Xenopus tropicalis: one gene and its partner. The protein of the gene in region 1 binds, or shares a complex with, the protein of each later gene. Links are inferred from orthologs where the notes say so. Each region holds a gene or a part of one and is shown on either strand. Other genes may lie near its edges.

Region 1 (8,785 bases):
TCACAATTAATGCACTGTTGTTATTTTTCTTAAATACGCATAGGCAAATTAGATGGATTTGGTTTGGTATTCAGCTGATTCTTGTTTGGAGAATGCGGTATTTGTCGAAATCCAGAAATTGTGGATTTGGTACAGTCCTAATCTTAATCAGGGTTGGACTGGGCAGCCGGGACACCGGGAAAAAACCACTGACGCATTTCACTTAGGCATGCTCAGGGGAGGACGTTAGGGGCCCCTGCGGCGGGGGGGGGGGGGGGGTTAGGGTGCGTGGCAGGAGATGTGGCCAGCGGGGGCCCTGCACTCACCAGTTTCCATAGAAACTCTGCTCTAGCTGTACATTCTGCTGGAGAAACACGCAGAATTGTTTTTTAAGTTCTGCCTGTGTAAGCCTGCATTTTTGATTTTATGAACTTTGCAGCACACATGCTGTTTACAGATATAAATGTCACTGATGATTTGCCAGAGGGAAAATTGCAGCTGGGTGAAAGCTGCTATTTGTTTTAGGAAAATTGATGGTGCTGGCAAACAGAGGGATATATGTAATACAAATGATGCGGTGTGGGTGGGGGAGTTGTGTCCAACTTATATACATGGTAGGAAAATGTAGGGTTTACATGTAAGGTAAAATTTATAAAGGGCATTATATACTGATATGTATATGCCAATTTAGTTTAATTTTTTGAAAGGTGACCTAGTGGACTATAAATGAGCTATTGGTTATACTTTAATATTAAATGTATAGTTCCCCTTTGACTTATTTTTGTTCTTTCCCCTCTCTAGCTAGCATGGGTTCTGTACTGTGATCTCATATGTCTCGATTACGATGGAAACCTTCTTGATACTTGCATGTGTGCTTTGGTTGCTGCTTTACAGAATGGTAAGTCATTGTTCAGTGAAACAGTCTTTGAGGGTACAGGGTAAGAATGAAGTGCTGTACAGCTGTTGCAAGTCCTGTTGCCACTAAACCTCAGTGGGAATCACTTGTTTATTATTATGTCTGAGATTCATGTTAATACCAAATATACCCCCAGAGCAGACTGGCTCAGTTTGACGTTTTTGCATTGCTTATGCAATCCATTCCATTATCTAGGTCTGGCTGTCCAAAACCTCCCTATTGAACTTTTCCAGTTAGCGGTTGTTGCAAATTATAAGGTTTGTCTGTCATATAACCTGGTGCTACAGGGCTGATTATTAAATTATAAGGAAGTTACATGTTCAGTGTATCAGCAGAAAAAAAAATGGCATTTTATGAGACACAGATCTTCCCTGCTAAAGGGCTGGGGTTGCCTTGGGCTGGTACAAACCCCCAAACATAATGTACAACATTTTTACCCTACTTCTATGTTAAGCTTTAGTTTACCTTTAAAGTAGAACTAAACCATAAAAATGAATATAGCTAGAAATGCCAAATTATATGTATTGAACTTATTGCACCAGCCTAAAGGTTCAGCATCTCTATAATGATCCCTTTAAAGTTATGCACAGAAGCTCCTACATCTTTGATTTTGTTAGAAGTGTCAGTGACACTGCACATGCTCAGTGTGCTCTGAGCAGCTAAATTATCAAGCAGAAAATGAGGTTTGTCTGTAATATAAGCTGATGGTAATTGCACTAGTTTCTGAGATGACATACTAATAATTTTTATTGTATACTAATCAGTCTTATATTGTTATACTTATATTCAGCAGTGGCCCCCCTTCTCAAAAGAAAAAAAATGTGGGGGGGCGGGGGCCCGGCATGCTCTTGTGGTCCTGCATAAATATTTAAATGAGTGGCTGGGGGTGGGATCTCTAGGCTACAGACAAAGCAAACCCTGTGGTCATGTCCCCCTTGAGGTCTGCTTCCTTTATAGTTCAGCCGCAGTTTATATTCTATATATACAGTATAGTGTGAGTGGGTCCCTAAGCTCAGGTAAGTGACAGCAGCACAGAGCATGTGCTGGGAATCAGCAGAAAAGAAGATGGGGGCTACTGGGGGCACAGATCTTCCCTGCTAAAGGGCTGTGGCTGTCTTTGGCTCATACAAAATATAATATACAATGTTTCTCCCTTCCTCCTTTAGATAAAAGTTAGTTCTCCTTTAATGTGGTGAACTGTGTATTTACTACAAGCTACATATGTTGTGGTGCTAAATATTGCACATTAATGTAAGGGCACATCCTAAAGTGAAATCAAAAGTGTCCTTTCCTAGACCAGGCCATTCTGGTGGGAGTGGATAGGGAAAAAAACATGAGGCAAAATGATCAAACAGCGAAGCTTGAACTCGCCACAGTCTGTAGCATCACAGAGTGGAATTCCACCACTATCGATTTATGTCTCTGGGATGTCTCAAGCTCTAGCTGTTCAGGATCCCATTCTTTATAATGCAATCTGCAGCTCCCAAGGTGTCACTGCACTATAATCCCAAGCAACCCATGACAGCTTTTGGCCTACTGGTGGATGCTAAAAGTGGTTGTTGGAGCCCATGCCAATATAATGTGTATTTTGCCTTATGATACTCTCCCACTGCTGCAGTCAATACAAATATTTACAGCAAAACGAGGGTTTCTCTTCTTATGCACTGCTTGCAACTGCCACCCTGCAGGTCCCTGTGTGGAGCCTCTGCTTGGGCCTCATTTAAGGCACCCTACCTAGGAACAAACATGTTCTGTTGGTAGAATATACATTCCAGCAGTTGTGCAACGAAGGCCCACAATTGGAGCTGCCTGTCCCTTCTGGGCCCCATGGAATGTTATTAAGCACTATACACAGAAGATGGTCTGTAGAAAGCTTTCCATTTATTCTGGAGGATAAAACAGTTTGTCCTTAGTCAGCAGTTATTTTATTATTTGCCTGTTTATAGGCATTATGAAATATTTATGGACATTTCAGTAGGATTTGCGGTTGATGAACTCACGTTGCTCTTGAATGTCACAAAATTGACTATTATTAGTATCTAATGGTGCCTGTGCCAATGTTATTGGTTTCCCTCTGCAGTAAGATTGCCATCTGTTAAAATAAACGAGGAGACTGGTTTAGCAGAAGTCAATTTGAAAACAAAACATGCTCTGAAAATCCTGAAACACCCCGTTGCAACATCATTTGCAGTATTTGATGAGTAAGTATTTGAAGTCCTTTGCTAAAGCTAGTGAGGCTTGGGGCTATAGGGCAGTGATGTTCTGAGTAAGTGATGAGACCCTCTACCGTTTTTTTATATGAGTTTTCACTGGAGACACCAGCTCAGAAGCTTGTGAGAGGATTGGGGGTGGGCACTGGGGAAGTTGAAGCCTGGTCAGCCATTGGCGCCAGAAAGCCTGGGGGAGAAAGTCAAGCAGCCTGACATGGGGGCCACCAACCCTGCCTGTTATCATGAGTGACAGGGCGTGCAGAGCAGTATTGGGGCACAGGTTGGATAAATGGGTTTTAACTGTGGTGACCACAGATTGCCTTGTGTTTGATGTCAACAGGTCAATAAAGGTCTGTTTTTTTTTTTTTGTTTAAGCTCTGTATACAGTTATATGTTTTTGTCCATACAGACAAGATAGGCATACGTGAACACTACATTCACTTTAACGTAATAACAATAACACTTCAATGGGACCTTCACTTCTGGGAACATCATTAAAGGTGCAAGTCCCTTCAGCTTCAGAGCTGATTACGGACAGGCCTTGTGATAAGCAGAATCACTAGTGTATTAGTATTCTCATGGGGATCTCTACTTTAAAATAGTTCTATAAAATATAATAATGGCTCCCTATACAGTATGCTGGTCCCATCTTGTGACCGATTAATCACAGAGGTAGGTGTCGGAGGCTGAGGGTTTGATCTTGTGTGAGGAATGCTTACTCTCCATCACCAAACCTATTGCACTGTCCCAGATTACGCATATAAGTGTGTTATTTTCTTTCCTAGCACATTCCTTCTGGTGGATCCCACAGGGGAAGAGGAGGGCTTGGCCAGCGGACTACTCACTGTTGTGACTGATGAAGATGAAAGGTTATGTGCCACTCGAAAACCAGGTACATCTACAGGCGATGAAGAACAATGGCTGCTTTGCTTTATAACCAGCTGATGCCACTGGGACAGTTCTCTCCCAACCATATGTAAAACAGGACATACATTGTAAACCCTGTATGAACTTAGAGAGATGCTTGTTAATAAGAGCGAATGTGTTTGTTTGTTTGTTTTGTTTTTGTTACTACACCCATGGTTTGTTGGGCAAGTCATATTTTTCCTGATGCCTTGGAGTACAGCAAGAAAAAAAAAATCTTGAGGGATAGGTAGATAATTAAACCTTTAACCTTTCCTCTGTAAGTGTAGCTTGCCACAGATGCAACCTAAATGAAGAGTGTTCACCCAGCTTGGCCTTCAGGCAATATCTGAATTAATCCTATGCAATTTATAAAAGGGCAGTACAGCTCATTTTCCAGCATCAGCGCAATGTTAGTGCTAAATATACTTTTTACCTGTTGTTTCAATTAAGAAATATCTATGTTATTATTTATGCTCTAAACAGAACAAAATCTGAACCTGAAAGTCACATTCTCCTTCCTGGTTTTGTACAAACAGTCAAAACAAATCATTAGTCTATTGAGAAGCCTCTGTATAATGAGATACTCCTATTTAAAAGCCAATCTAGTCTGCAGCTTAGGAGAAAGAAGGCTTTTTAAAACTACCTTTTCAGAACCAGGAAGTAATTGTGACTTTTTTTACTTTTAGTCTTTGTCCTGTTTAGTGCAAGAAATAAAAACAATTCCAATGTAAATATAAGACTAATTTCCCCACACTTTTAGAACTAAGATTATCGGATGTGCAACAAGGCTCCTTGTGTGTTCTGTGGTTTCACTGTAACCAAAAATAAAGTCCTGGAATCATTGTGGCTTGCCCCACTGAAATATTCTGCAGTGCAGTGAATAGGAAGGTCAGTGGTTAGGCCATAAGCCAGCAATTCTCCCTTGGTAAAGCTTCTTGATCAGGCTGCTCACTAGGTGCCGGGGTGTTTTGTTAAGGGGCACAAATTTGAGGGATGAACTGTGTGTCCCAAAAATTGATTTAGTAACATTTTTTTTTTATTAACCATTTTCTATTGCAGATGAAAGTTGACTGTAATTAGGGGGGGTAATCGTGGCCCACCTTAAACATTGGAACCCATATCCTGACCTATAGATTACATTTCTATGTGCTTCAGCTTTGTTTCTTACCTTTTGAGTGAAAACAGACATTTAAGAAATACCATTTTTTTGTTTGTGTATCTCTTGGGGAAGAGTGATGCATTCTTGTTAAAAAAAGGGGGAATTTTCATGTTAATCTGTAATATATTAACTTTTTTTTTTTTACGCAAAGGTGGGAGTGCCCTTGCAGCAGAGAAGCTCCAGGAGTGCATCAGTCGAGCCATCACGAGACACAAAGAGGTGACGAACCTTCTGCAAGAGGCGCTGGCCAGTGTCAAGTCAGAATAAGTAGGCATATTCATTTTAAAAATGACCATGTAAAAAGTTGTATTTGTTACAGTGATTGCACACCTTTTGTACTAAATAAACATTACCATGGCTACATTTACTCGCTACAGTTCTGTCTCTATGGGTGCAGCGTCTCAGTCTCCTCCTCACATGGATGCAAGTTAAAAATCTTTCCCCCCCCCCCCACCAGGTTTGTGAAGGCCCCCAGACCACTAATAATGTATGTCCATTTTAATGCACATATAAGTCAGACATCTCTTCACAAAGCTCGTTTGCAAGTATTCGTGTAAGAATAATTTAAAACAGTTTTAAAAAAATAGTAATTGGAAGGCAATAGTCGGTTAATAATTCTGCTCAAAGGTGTGATATGGAGTTCAAGGCTCAGGGTTTTGCGTCAAATCCGGCACTGCCCCTCCTTTTACTTCTTGATTGGCTGTCGGAATGAGGCAGGGGCGGGAACTGGGCTGCTTGTGCTGCTGTTGCCATAGCCATTTGATGATGCAAGAATTGCAACTGTCAATGCAAGGTGGAGACAAAGGGTTAAAGCCATTTCAACATATGTTAAAGCTGTACACCGTGCTAGGGTTTTACTGCTCACCTTACTGAGAGTGAGGCTCGTAGCTCAAGCAGGTTTGCATGGAATTTAGGCAGTACACCAATGCAGGAAGGGGGACCAAGAATTGATTGGGCAATCATGCAGCACCAGAATCCCCAAAGCACCTCAACTGCTAACTTCCACTCTCAGGGAAAAGCAAGGCTCTTACAGCTTCATTGTCCCCCAAAACTGGGGGGGGGAAGGATCTTGGAAGGTATTATTCTACAATGGTTCTAAAAGTTGCCATATTCCCAGACCTGGACAAAGATGTGGCTGAACTATATTATATACAAATATACACACAGTGGTTTTTTTTAAAGTTTGTGAACCCTTTCAAATTTTCTATATTTTTATATGAATGTGACCTAAAACATCTAATTTTCAAACAAGCCCTAAAAGTAAACAAATGAAACTAAAATTATTATATTTGGTCATATATTGAAAAAAAAAAAATTCTGCAGTCAATGGGATGACAATCAGGTGTGAGTGAGAGACCCTGTTTTATTTAAAGAAAGCGGATCCAGCAAAGCAAATCACACATACAACACATTTGTGGATGTGCATCATGGCTCAAACAAAGAAGGTGTCTGAGGACCTTAGAAAGAGAGTTGTTGATGCCCATAAAGCTGGAAAAGGTTACAAGACTATCTAAACCGTTTGGACTTCGACAATCAGCAGTCAAAGAAACTGTGTTCAAATGGAAGAAATTCTAGTGTGTTGTTACCCTACCAAGCAGTGGATGACTATCAAAGACTCCAACAGCAAGGCATCTAATAGAGGTTACAAAGGAACCCAGGGTAACTTCTAAGCAACTGAAGGCCAGTCTTACAATGGCGAATGTTGATGTTCATGAGTCCACCAGCTGGAGAACACAGAACAGCAATGGTGTATATGGCAGCGTAGCAAGGAGAAAGCCACTGCTCTCCCCACAAAATATTACTGACTGTCTAGTTTGCTAAAGATCAAGTGGACAAACCAGAAGGATTCTGGAAGAATGTTTTGTGGACAAAGGAAGCCAAAATAGAAGTTTTTTGATTAAATGAGGAGCAAAATATATAAGAATGCTTAATACAAAAATACAAAATATAAGAAACTTATCCCATCTGCGAAACGTGGTGGGAGAGTTTTGGTTTGGCCCTGTCTTGCTGCCTCTGAGCCTGGACAGCTTGCCATTATGGATGGTACAATGAATTCTTAACTATATGAGAGAATACTAAAGGAAAATGTCAATACATCTGTCCGTGAAGAGACAGTGAATCATGCAGCAAGGCAATGACCCTAAACACACAAGTTGTTCTACCAAACAATAGTTAAAGAGGAATAAAGTGAATGTTCTAGAATGGCCAAGTGCTGACCATAATCCAATTGAAATGTTGTGGAAAGACCTAAAGTGAGCAGTTCATGTAAGGAAACACACCAACATCCAAGAGCTGAAACTGTTCATAGAGGAATGGACTCAAATTCCTCCAAGTCAAAGTGCAGGATTGATCAACAGTTACCACAAACATTTAGGTGCAGTTGTTGCTGAACACAGGGGTCACACCAAATACAGAGAGAACGATCCACTTACCTTTGCAACACACAGATTTGTTATGGGATCATTTTTTCAATAAATACACAACCAAATATAATACATTTTGTTTCATTTGTTTAACTAGGATTTCTTCATCTACTTTCAATATCAGATGATGTTTTAGGTCACATTCATATAAAAATATAGAAAATTTGAAAGGGTTCACAAACTTTCAAACACCACTGTATGTATTATTTTTGCATAATATATATATAGTGCCAACACGGACTATCCTTGCTCCAGCCCATATGCACTAACTATAAAGAAAAATCTTGTAACACTTAAACATGTGCAGCTTTTGGGCTCTATGAAATCCTGAACCATGCATTGTGATTTGCTGAAGTATAAAAAAATGTGCGTGGCATAAAACAAACCTTCTTGGATTAGTAAAGTATTCCCGTGTAGATTGCTTTTCAGATGGGGCATTCTGCAATAACACATGCACTGCAGATCCTACTCAGGACATCTTGGAATAGCACTTTATTCACACTACACTCTTATAAGTGAATAACCTCTAATTGGGACTGCAAGATTATTTTGCTAGCTGTCATCTGACAAAAATGAGGCCTTGCTTGTTTCAGTTGGCAAGCTACACAGTAGATTTAAAGCAGCAGCATTTACTTAGCATGTGCATTTATTCACAGAAGTTGCCGAATTACTTGTATTTGTTGCTGCTGCTGCTGTTGTTGTAAGGCAGGAGAGAGCTGCAGTCTCTGTGATGGCAGGTTTTGCCCGGGTCTGTTCCCAGCAGAGCCAAGCTGAGACAACACTACAGAGAGGAGAAGGGGGGAAAGCAGGGAGGTCAAACTGGTAGAGCGGTGGATTAGGTGCATGAGAAACTATACATCAGGACAGCTATTTATTACACTGAAATTCTAAAGCAGGCAATTTCAATCTGAGGTCCTTCAGAGACTGTTTTAACCACAGCTCCTAATGGCCTACCAAGAGCTGATGGGTGTTAGGGATGCAGGGATTTGTGAGAAGTGGGGCGCAGGCAGGCCCGGACTGGCAATCTGTGGGTTCTGGCCAGAGGGGCTGCTGTAAAATGCCATAGACAGTCACTGTTTATTGGGCTGGTGGGGTCTGTTTGGGCCTCTGTACACCAGAAATGGAAGAGCCTATTTTGAATCTCAGTCCAAGAGTGGGTGCAGGTCTCTCATAGGATGTTGATTTTGGTCTG
Region 2 (9,298 bases), on another chromosome or scaffold:
CTTTTACTCTTACTACAAGAGCTTCACAAGATATACCGTTACAATCTCACTGACCAAAATAGTGGTTCTGTGAATAAATGACAAAAAAAATACATTTTATTCTCATAGAGGAAAATGTACAAAATACAAATAAAACTATTTTAAGAGAAAAAAAAACACATATCTGATCAATTAAACTTTTGGAGCAAAGAAATACTGTTAAAAAGACTGATGCCCATGAGGGGATTAGTCGCCCACAGTTAAATATCAACTACCGCAGGCAACTAATCTCCGTAAAATGACAGTAGCAATGACTTCAGAAAACTGAAGCTACATGTATGCCTTTCCATCGGCGATTTACTTTATTGTCAGTGGAGAGGCATTAGCCTAAATGAAGGGAACCGAGTTACATTTTTGTTGGCTTGTCTTAATTTTAACCACCAAAATTATGGAGGCAACAAGGCACTCAAGGTTGCAAGCACAAACAAATATAAAATCATTGTTTGCCATAATACAAATTAAGATAATTCAGAACTGCCTGGCTACCGAGTGGTTAGATACAACTACAAGGAGCTTAAATGCCTGTGCCACATGTTGTTCTCTATGTCTGCAGAAACTCTGGCTGCACCCGTGCAACTTTCCTCTGTTCTTTAATGTGCGTCTTTGGACACTGCATCTCACACCAGCTGATTGGCACCATAGTAGCTCCTGGGACAAAAACAAGCAGATGCTGATTAGTATGCAAATAGTGTGTTCATAACATATCCACACACATCTGAGTAGTCATTATGGAGGAACAGATATAGTGAGAGTGTGCCAAAGTTTGGAGATCCCTGGAACATACTGCCATTCAAGGCCCAAAAAAAGAAAGTGCTGAAGGGCACAGTAAGAGGAAACTGATGGTCACCCTTTCAGTGATCATCAACAACATCAACACAACATACTTACCTGCTTCACTATGAGCAACTACAACACCCAGCTCATTCTCTGCTGTGCTTAATAGATAATTAGACTGGATGTCACCCAAAGATATCTTATGCAAAAGATCAGGAGATAAAACTTTTTTAAAAAAAGAAATCAATTCAATACTCAAAATATACTGCAGGCAACACCAATTGGTAAACTACACCTCTGAACAATATACACTATATGGCCAAAAGTATCCGGGCACCTGCTATAACTCGGCTACTCTTTCTGAAAGGCTTTTCAATAGAAGCTGGAACATTGTTGGGTGGGATTATGGAACAATAACAGCCCTATGCACAAAGTTAGGTCCCTGCAGAATGGGTTTGCCGAGATAGGAGAGGAAGAACTTGAATGGGCTGCACCGAGTCCTGACCTCAACCAGACAGAACAACTGTGGGACAAACTGGACTGCAAGCCAGATCCAATCCCCAACATCAGTGCCCAACCTTGCTAATGCTCTTGTGGCTCAATGGAAGCAAATCCCACCAATAATGTTCTCGAAACTAGTGATTTTTTTTGAAGAGAGGCAGGTGTTTGGGTAGTTTTGGGAATATAGTGCAGCAGAATTTCAAAAGACAAATCATAATGATAATAATGGCATGAACAGATGTAAAAGTTAAGAATAAATCAAATAGTATATTTATTATGTTTGCGAAGAAGATAATATGTGAATACCTGGTAAATACTAATTACAGGCAATATATGTTTAATTGATTTGAACAGCTAAAAGGATACCACTTTGGCCATTACGATATCTCCTGGACGGAAGCTTTTATAGACTTCAACCTTTAAAGACAGAATATATTAAAAATATAGAAGGCCATGCACCTTTGATTTGTGATATTTTCTTTAAATCGCTGAAATATTACACCTATTTGGAATAAGAGCATTTGGGATTAAGGGAGAAGGAAAGAGGGGTGCTTAATATTTAGGCACCCCCAGTGATCAGTCTGGGGTACTTTCTGTGAGAGCACCGCATCCCAATCATCTTCATTCTTCAGTGGCCCCAAGTTGGGGCGTGCGCAGTAGAGAGGAAAAGCTGGCATTTTTCACACTGCTGTGCATGCATATCCACCGTGAAGAAGGAAGAACCAGCAAACTGTTCTCTGGGCCAGTGTAGTTTTTTGCTAACAGGAGCACAATCTGGGGTATGCAGTAAGTGATTACAATCTCGGAGAGGGTGCCTAACATTTTTTTTTTTTACTCACAAAAACAAACAAGCGGGTCCAGTTACCTTGTCTTTTTCTGTAGCACGAATGTCTTCTTTCCTAGAAGCCAAAAAGCAACTATTTATACATAAGGCAATAATGTTAGATGCCCAGCTCTGGCTCTTAATCATATAATTTCTAAAAACACTGTGTAACACCTTAAAATGTACTTTTAAGCAATTCATACACAGGCAAACAGATTCAATAGCTTTTTTTGGATTTTTAATTTATTCTTAAATTTTTTGTTCTGCTGCTCTGAGGGTTGGAATTTAAATTCTCACTGCCAGGGGTTAATTATCCTAAAAACCAATGCGCAATCTTTACATGAAAGATGAAGAACAGCGGGCCCTGAAAAGAAATATAACCACTATCCATAACTGTCAAGCCCTGCAGTAAATATTTTGTTTTGCTGCTGGGGTCAGTGTCCTCAAATCCCCAGCCCGCATTTTCAGCTGCATGTATAAAGGAATCCATCTCCTGGTTCTCGTGACTTTTACTAATCTTCTGCAATACACAAGCCCAATCTTGCTTTATGGCATAAAAATTAAATTGCAAAAGGGGTTATGCGATTTTTTTTGAGCAAATGTCAGAACACATCTTCAACACCCAGAAATGCCAGTACATGGGCTCCCTCTATACTGCAGAAGGTTTACTTTAAATAAGAAGGGTCTAGCCTCAGAGTAAATCCTTTACCTGATTGTGCCTCGAAATGTGTTACTCAGTGGAGTTGAACCAATATACATAATTTGGACCTTTGCAAACCTGGAGTTAATGCTTGTTACCTAATTATGAATGGAAATAAAGACTAAATTAGAAACTCCATAATAATAAATGAAGTTTATTATAAGAATGAAAAATTAAAAAGTAAATGAAAAAAAGTTCACATTTCAAATTGACAAATACTGTGTTATAAAACATAGTGGAGCTTAAAAAAATAAATACCAGTTACAGATTGCCTCAAAGTATTGGTTCATTTAAAGTGAATATTACAATCTATAAAAGCTGATGTACAGATGGCACTCTCTTAGTTTTCCCACAATCATTATCATCTCCTTCCAAAGTGCTCCTTTTAAGCTTGTAAGTACCTCGTATCTCACAATAACCCATCATTTGGCTGGGACATGTTAATGTCATTGAGCCCTTTACACAGCTCCTTACCAGTCCTCTTGTACCTAAGCCAGCTTTTATGCTGAAAGGTCACCAAAAAGAGGATTTTTGCCTGATCATAAAAACTATATACATGGGTGGGATCAATGTTGGCTTCTACTCCTACTAACTGCTTTGTATAGCTGAGAAACAAATGACTGCCCTAAACCCAGCCCCCCCCCCCCCCCCCCCAAAAAAAAAAAAAAAAGATACATTTTACCACCTGTTATAACACAACACCACTACAGAATTCTACTTTGGTGTGCAAAATACATTCTTACCTTACAAGTGACAACAGAGCCAACATCTGGCAGAAGATGTGAATCAGTCTCTCTTACCACAGAAATAACTGGCATCTAGAAACCAAAAAAGTGCAGGTAAGGAAATAAAAATTTTAAATAAAAACTATATTATACTGGGGACAGTCTGCACAGGAGCAGCAAATTATTGTACTTTCAGAAATAGTTTAAAGATGAGCTTCAACATTACTTCAGGGCTGCATGTATGGGTGGGATCAATAGTATTGTCTAGGTGGCAAGACCCAACTGCCTGCTGGCACATATTCAACAATGTAAGACTGAGCTGGCTGCAAACTCCCAGTGACTGCTTTGTATAGTTGGGAAACAAATGACTGCCCTAAAATCCTCCCGAAAACATAAATGTTACCACTCGTGTATCGTATCTCAGCTATGTATAATAACAACCTACTACAGAAAACTACTTACCAAGCCATTGTCAGTTTTCTTCACTATGTAACCTGCCAGGGAGGCAAAAATATAGCCATGTCTGCAGAAAGTTCCATATCCAGGGGCACAGTCTTCAGTGCTGCACAGCCTTTCACCTGCAGAGGTTAAAAGAAAGATAACACAATAATACAACTCTGCACAGGGTATATAAAAAACAACCAACTTTTAAAAGTAAAAATAATATATTACTTCAGAGATTAGAACTTGAACTCAGAATTCCCAGAATGAAGCCTGACAGGAGAGCTGAAATTATATATATATATAGATTGTAAGCTCTACGGGGCAGGGACCTCCATCCTCTTGTGTCTTTGACTCTTAACTTATTGCAACTGTAACTGTATCTTGTATTTATTTGTATTTATTGTTATACTTTGTATTCATCTATTATCTTATTAACCCCCTGTTTGTATTAATCTATTCTACTGTACAGCGCTGCGTACATAAGTAGCGCTTTATAAATAAAGATATACATACATTTACTACAACACGAGCAGGAGAAATGTTTCCACAATTTCTTTTTACGGCATCCCTACTGTTATTACATCTCAGTCACTAACCCACAGCACTCCTACCCAACCCAGTCCTTCCTTACCAGGCACCGACACTAACTAAACACTGTGCCCTGCTTCACTCACCCGGCACACAGCACCTTACAGGAGCCATGATAAACACGTGATAACCAATACTGGGCAATGAAGGCTCCGATTGGGTACATCCCGGTTAGTGACGTAACATATCCTGCCATTGGCTCTTCAGCCGTCGCAGCGTGATGACGTACCACGTAGCAATTGTACAATTTGAGGCTGGAGTTCTGGCAGCCTTTACTTTATCTTAAAAAAACAGTGTTATGTTAGTATTAGTCTGTGTTCTAGAAATCGATTTTCATTTCTAAAAAAATATGGTTTTACATATCACAACCTGGCCAGATATGTGTTCCTATAGCAACAGAATGTCATTTACACTGCTTTTCCTGTGACTGTAATAGTTATTAGAAAACGTTCTCTTCACTATGACGTTGCATGGAAACCATAGCGAGGCAGGCTCTCTCAGCGTGAGGCTTCTGTACAGTGGTGCTTCCATCGAAAATCGATAGGTATATATATTTTCCTTAATAACGCAGAAAGAATACCGGACGAGGGGGTTACGGAATAAGACGCTATTCTTGGGATGTACGTTTCTCCCTTTTTGACCTCGTAACCTATAGGGGATAATCAGAACTTACAAAATGGTGTAATTATTCTCAGGGACAGGAGGCACACAGACAGCAATAAGCTCTTGCCTCGTACACCTACTGTAAGAAGAAAATATTTGAATATTTGAGATATATATATATATATACATGTGTGTATATACACCTTGCTTTATAATTGAACTTTTATCTTCTGTCAGTAACTAGGCCAGTAACTAACAACACTGCCAAGATGAATAATTCCTAGCCCTAATATACTTATTTAAAATTGACACAATTCACTAGTTTCCAACACAGTTGTCACCTGGGCATACAGTAAAATGCTTTTTAATTGTGTACCATTCATAGGGTCTAATAAACTAGTGGCAAGGGGGTTGTGCAGTTACTGTGTGGCCAGCGCAGATACAGTGCTGTACTGCCCCTTATGCACTAAAGCAGGTGCCACTGGAAAATAAGCATACAGCATGGGCATAGGCAGGCACAAGTACACATTGCATATAGCATTTAACAGCATCTTTTGTTAGTGCCTAGAAATTGTAATTGAGACCTTTACATAGTAGATGTGGTTGAAAAAGGACACACCCTTCAAGTTCAACGTTTTCTCTAAGAGAAACACCACTAATATCTAGTTAATCTGGAGCAATACAGATATCAGAAGGCATCTCCCATAAGCCTTAAAGGGAGTGAAGTAATTACTCCAACAATCCCTGGATCAACTTTTTGCTAAGAATTAAAAAAGTTTATTAACATATACCAACTCTTCTGGAACTAAGGAAAATGCTTGACAGAAAAGGGTATAAGGATACTATTGTTTAATAAACAGTGGCAGTCTCCAGCAGGAAGGGCAGGCACGGTATTGGCCTTTATTATTGTGAGTAAGCCATAGAGGTGCAAGGAAGCCCCTGTACTTTACACTCTCCTTTGCACTGTTCATTTAATGTATTTTATGAACAAAAACTATAGCACACACACATACCTTTACTTCCTTTCCAGAATGTCACAAGTGCAAATTGTGCAAGAATTACCATAGTTTGCACCTAGAGGTTGAAGAAGTCACCTTTTTTGGCTTCGGCAGTGTTAGGAAATGAGGTCTGTTTTTGACAAGAACCTATTTTTTTATTTTTAGCTACAAAACACGCCTGCCCTATTTTATTTGTATGCTGTATATGCTTCGGCATCTATTGTTACAACAGAAACTCTCCCGAGTGTTATTTGAGGATTTTTTTTTCAACTTGAGATTTTCATACAAAAAAGAGGAAAAGGAAAGAAAGGGAGACAATAAGAGACAGGAGAGAGGTAAGTATCGGAGAGATCATGGTGGAGTGGGGGTATATAGTCCAAGATCATTCGCTACTAAACCTGGGTGAATCTTTTCCTGACGTTATCCTGTGGTGGTGGAGTTAGGTGTTTGTTGGTTGACTGCCGGGTGCATTTTCTAGCTTTATGTGGCTGCTGTTAGTTTTTGAGAAATTTGGTTTTCCATGCTTGGTGGGAAAGTATTTCTCTGTTGCGTGTTTTTCGTACGTAAGGTTAGAGTCTGTGAGGTTGATCAGTTTTTCCTTAGTTGGTATGGTTTTCCATTGTCGTGGTATTAATAGCCTGGCCAAAATGATAATGGGGTAGGTAAGTTTCCTTAGGTTTGGAGGTATATTTTGTAGTCGATGGTTAAGTAGTGCTAGTGAGGCAGTTAGTGGGATTAGTATATTTGTTGTTTCATACAATAGTAGTGAGACATCTGCACAGAAGGGGGCAAGTGCTGGGCATTCCCACCACATGTGGATTAGTGTTCCTGTTGTTTTGTTGCACCTCCAGCAGGTGGACGAGGTGTTTGGATATATCTGATTGAGGGTGTTTTGTACCCTCTGAATAGAATTTTTCTTTGGTTCTCTATGTGGTTAGTAAATTTGAAATATTTGTAAGCTGCGTTAGCCACTTGAAGCCAATGGGCTGTTGTAAACGTTGTGTTAAGATCGCTTTCCCATTTTAGGATAGGTGCTGGCTTTATTTGAGGATAATTTCAATACTTTCAGCTTGGCTGTTTTTAAAAAGTAGAGTAGATTAATGCTACTAAATATCACATAGGGTGAAACAACAGCACATATGCTGGGGTACCTGCAGTATTCCCAGTTGTATTATGTGAGCATTATTAGTGCCAAAAGCATGACAAGAAAATGTAAAGCCTTGTCCTGAAGATTACACATCCAGTGATTCAAGATGTTTCACTATACCTAGAATTAACTGATTTCTTTACATATTGTTGACATTTCCTTCCATCAGTGTCTCTCCCATGAATAAATAAATGAGAAGTTCAGGGCCTAGGACGGAATGGTAATACAACTGTATACAGATGATTCATTATGTGTCAGTGCCTTCCAGACTGTGATAGAAATGAGCTTATTTGAGCTTCACATGAATGCAAGAGCTCACACTAATAGGCTTATTTATCAGTTTGAGAATTCAAAATTGTTTTTCTAATTCAAATAAACTAACATTTTTAATGTATGCTTATTTATTAATAAGGAAATGAAAAAACTTCAATCTCTAGAATTTGTGCAATTACAAAAAAAAAAAAAGAATTTGAAAATCTCAAATTGAAAATATGGCTCGACTTTGCCTAGGACAACTCCGATCACATTCCCCACAAGCATCTGTGCCAGGCCCAAGGTTCTGTTCTCTGCAGCTGGGATCAGCTTTAATGTATTTTTGGCAGTGCCCACCTACCTTCTCTGCAATACCTCCTTAAAGAACAGAATAGTCCATCCATGGGGAAGAAGGCATCGCTGGCCACCACGCCAAACTGACATTCTATGTGAAATATTTGGATGGCATAAGAGCTAACTAATGTAGTGCATTATGAGATTTATGTACAGTACAGGTCCTTCTGGCTGCTACAGAGGCATAGCTTAAGGGCCATTGTTTTGCCCACATACCAGTTAAAAGAAAGAGGCACAGCAGTGTGAGCAGTAATAAACACTGTTTGTACTGAGCAGATCCTATGAACTCTATTAGCCAATATTAGATATATATTTACCTATATTATAGCAGTTGGTTACTTCATAGACTCAACTACTGTTATAAAAAATAAACCACAACAACACAATGTTTCATTGCACATCACTCCTTTATTGTAATGATCCTGAAAAAGGTACCTCTATCAGGAAAACACAGCTACAGTAAACATGGTAGCACTGAATGGGCAGAGACCACTGATGCCATCTAGAAAGGCCAGTAGGGGTGGGACACAGAAAGGACCAGTGCTCTCTGATGAGTTGCATTTACTAGTATAGCATAATTTATATATATATATATATATATATATTATATATATATATATATATATATATATATATATTTATTTTATATACATACATATATTTACTATATAGTATTTACCATACTAGGAGCAACCTAAATGTGGTCAGCAACCATTGATTTCAGCAGATTAATCTCATTATAACAGTTTCATTTTATGGACAAATTACAACAAACAGTTTGCACATTAGCCAGAACGGACAATATTTTGGACCCAAATACATTGGTTCATAGGGCGTACGCTTGATCCTCAAACCAGTGATCTGAGTTAATAGTAATCTCTCAGTTAATATTACACCCACTGGAATTTGACCTAACTTGTCCTTGAAGTCCCAGATACATCATATAACATACGGTATTAGCCTACAGTGTCAAATCAATAAAAATATTAAATTATAACCTAATTATAAGTACAGTTTCTCTTGAAAAAATACAAAACCAAAAAGGTGCACTAGTGAAAAGTAAATAAATAACCGTTAAGTGCTTGGTCACAATCTAATTATATGAATTATTAACAGCCAATGGAAAGTCATATAGAATTCCGTAGTAAAGGGGCAGGCATTTATAGAGAAATATGGTATTCCAGTTCTCTCTTTAAAAACCTAATTTGATAAAAACCTTTAATTTGGACTGGCCTTGCAACTGTAAATAACCTATGGCAAAGGGAATTTACAGTAAAACAGTAACTGAATTTTCTAGGAGAAAAAAAAAAATAAAAAGTAGAAAAAACTGAATGGACCCACGTGCAACTA

Evidence for each region.
Region 2: exosc8 (region 1) and exosc1 share a complex: the UniProt entries of both Homo sapiens proteins name them as parts of the RNA exosome core complex. The link is inferred for Xenopus tropicalis from reciprocal best matches to the Homo sapiens genes EXOSC8 and EXOSC1.

The regions. Positions count from the first base shown.
Region 1 is NC_030678.2:151,672,149-151,680,933, reverse strand, and holds the end of exosc8 (exosome complex component RRP43), read left to right. Parts: intron 1-780; coding exon 781-877; intron 878-2,975; coding exon 2,976-3,096; intron 3,097-3,890; coding exon 3,891-3,997; intron 3,998-5,321; coding exon 5,322-5,437; 3' UTR 5,438-5,533; downstream 5,534-8,785. Other genes in the region: supt20h (transcription factor SPT20 homolog), read right to left, coding at 5,819-5,950, 8,265-8,374. UniProt on the Homo sapiens protein: Non-catalytic component of the RNA exosome complex which has 3'->5' exoribonuclease activity and participates in a multitude of cellular RNA processing and degradation events.
Region 2 is NC_030683.2:32,981,964-32,991,261, reverse strand, and holds exosc1 (exosome complex component CSL4), read right to left. Parts: upstream 4,726-9,298; 5' UTR 4,709-4,725; coding exon 4,681-4,708; intron 4,141-4,680; coding exon 4,025-4,140; intron 3,656-4,024; coding exon 3,581-3,655; intron 2,936-3,580; coding exon 2,847-2,935; intron 2,214-2,846; coding exon 2,180-2,213; intron 1,732-2,179; coding exon 1,681-1,731; intron 1,013-1,680; coding exon 928-1,012; intron 688-927; coding exon 581-687; coding exon of another isoform or gene 508-580; 3' UTR 79-507; downstream 1-78. UniProt on the Homo sapiens protein: Non-catalytic component of the RNA exosome complex which has 3'->5' exoribonuclease activity and participates in a multitude of cellular RNA processing and degradation events.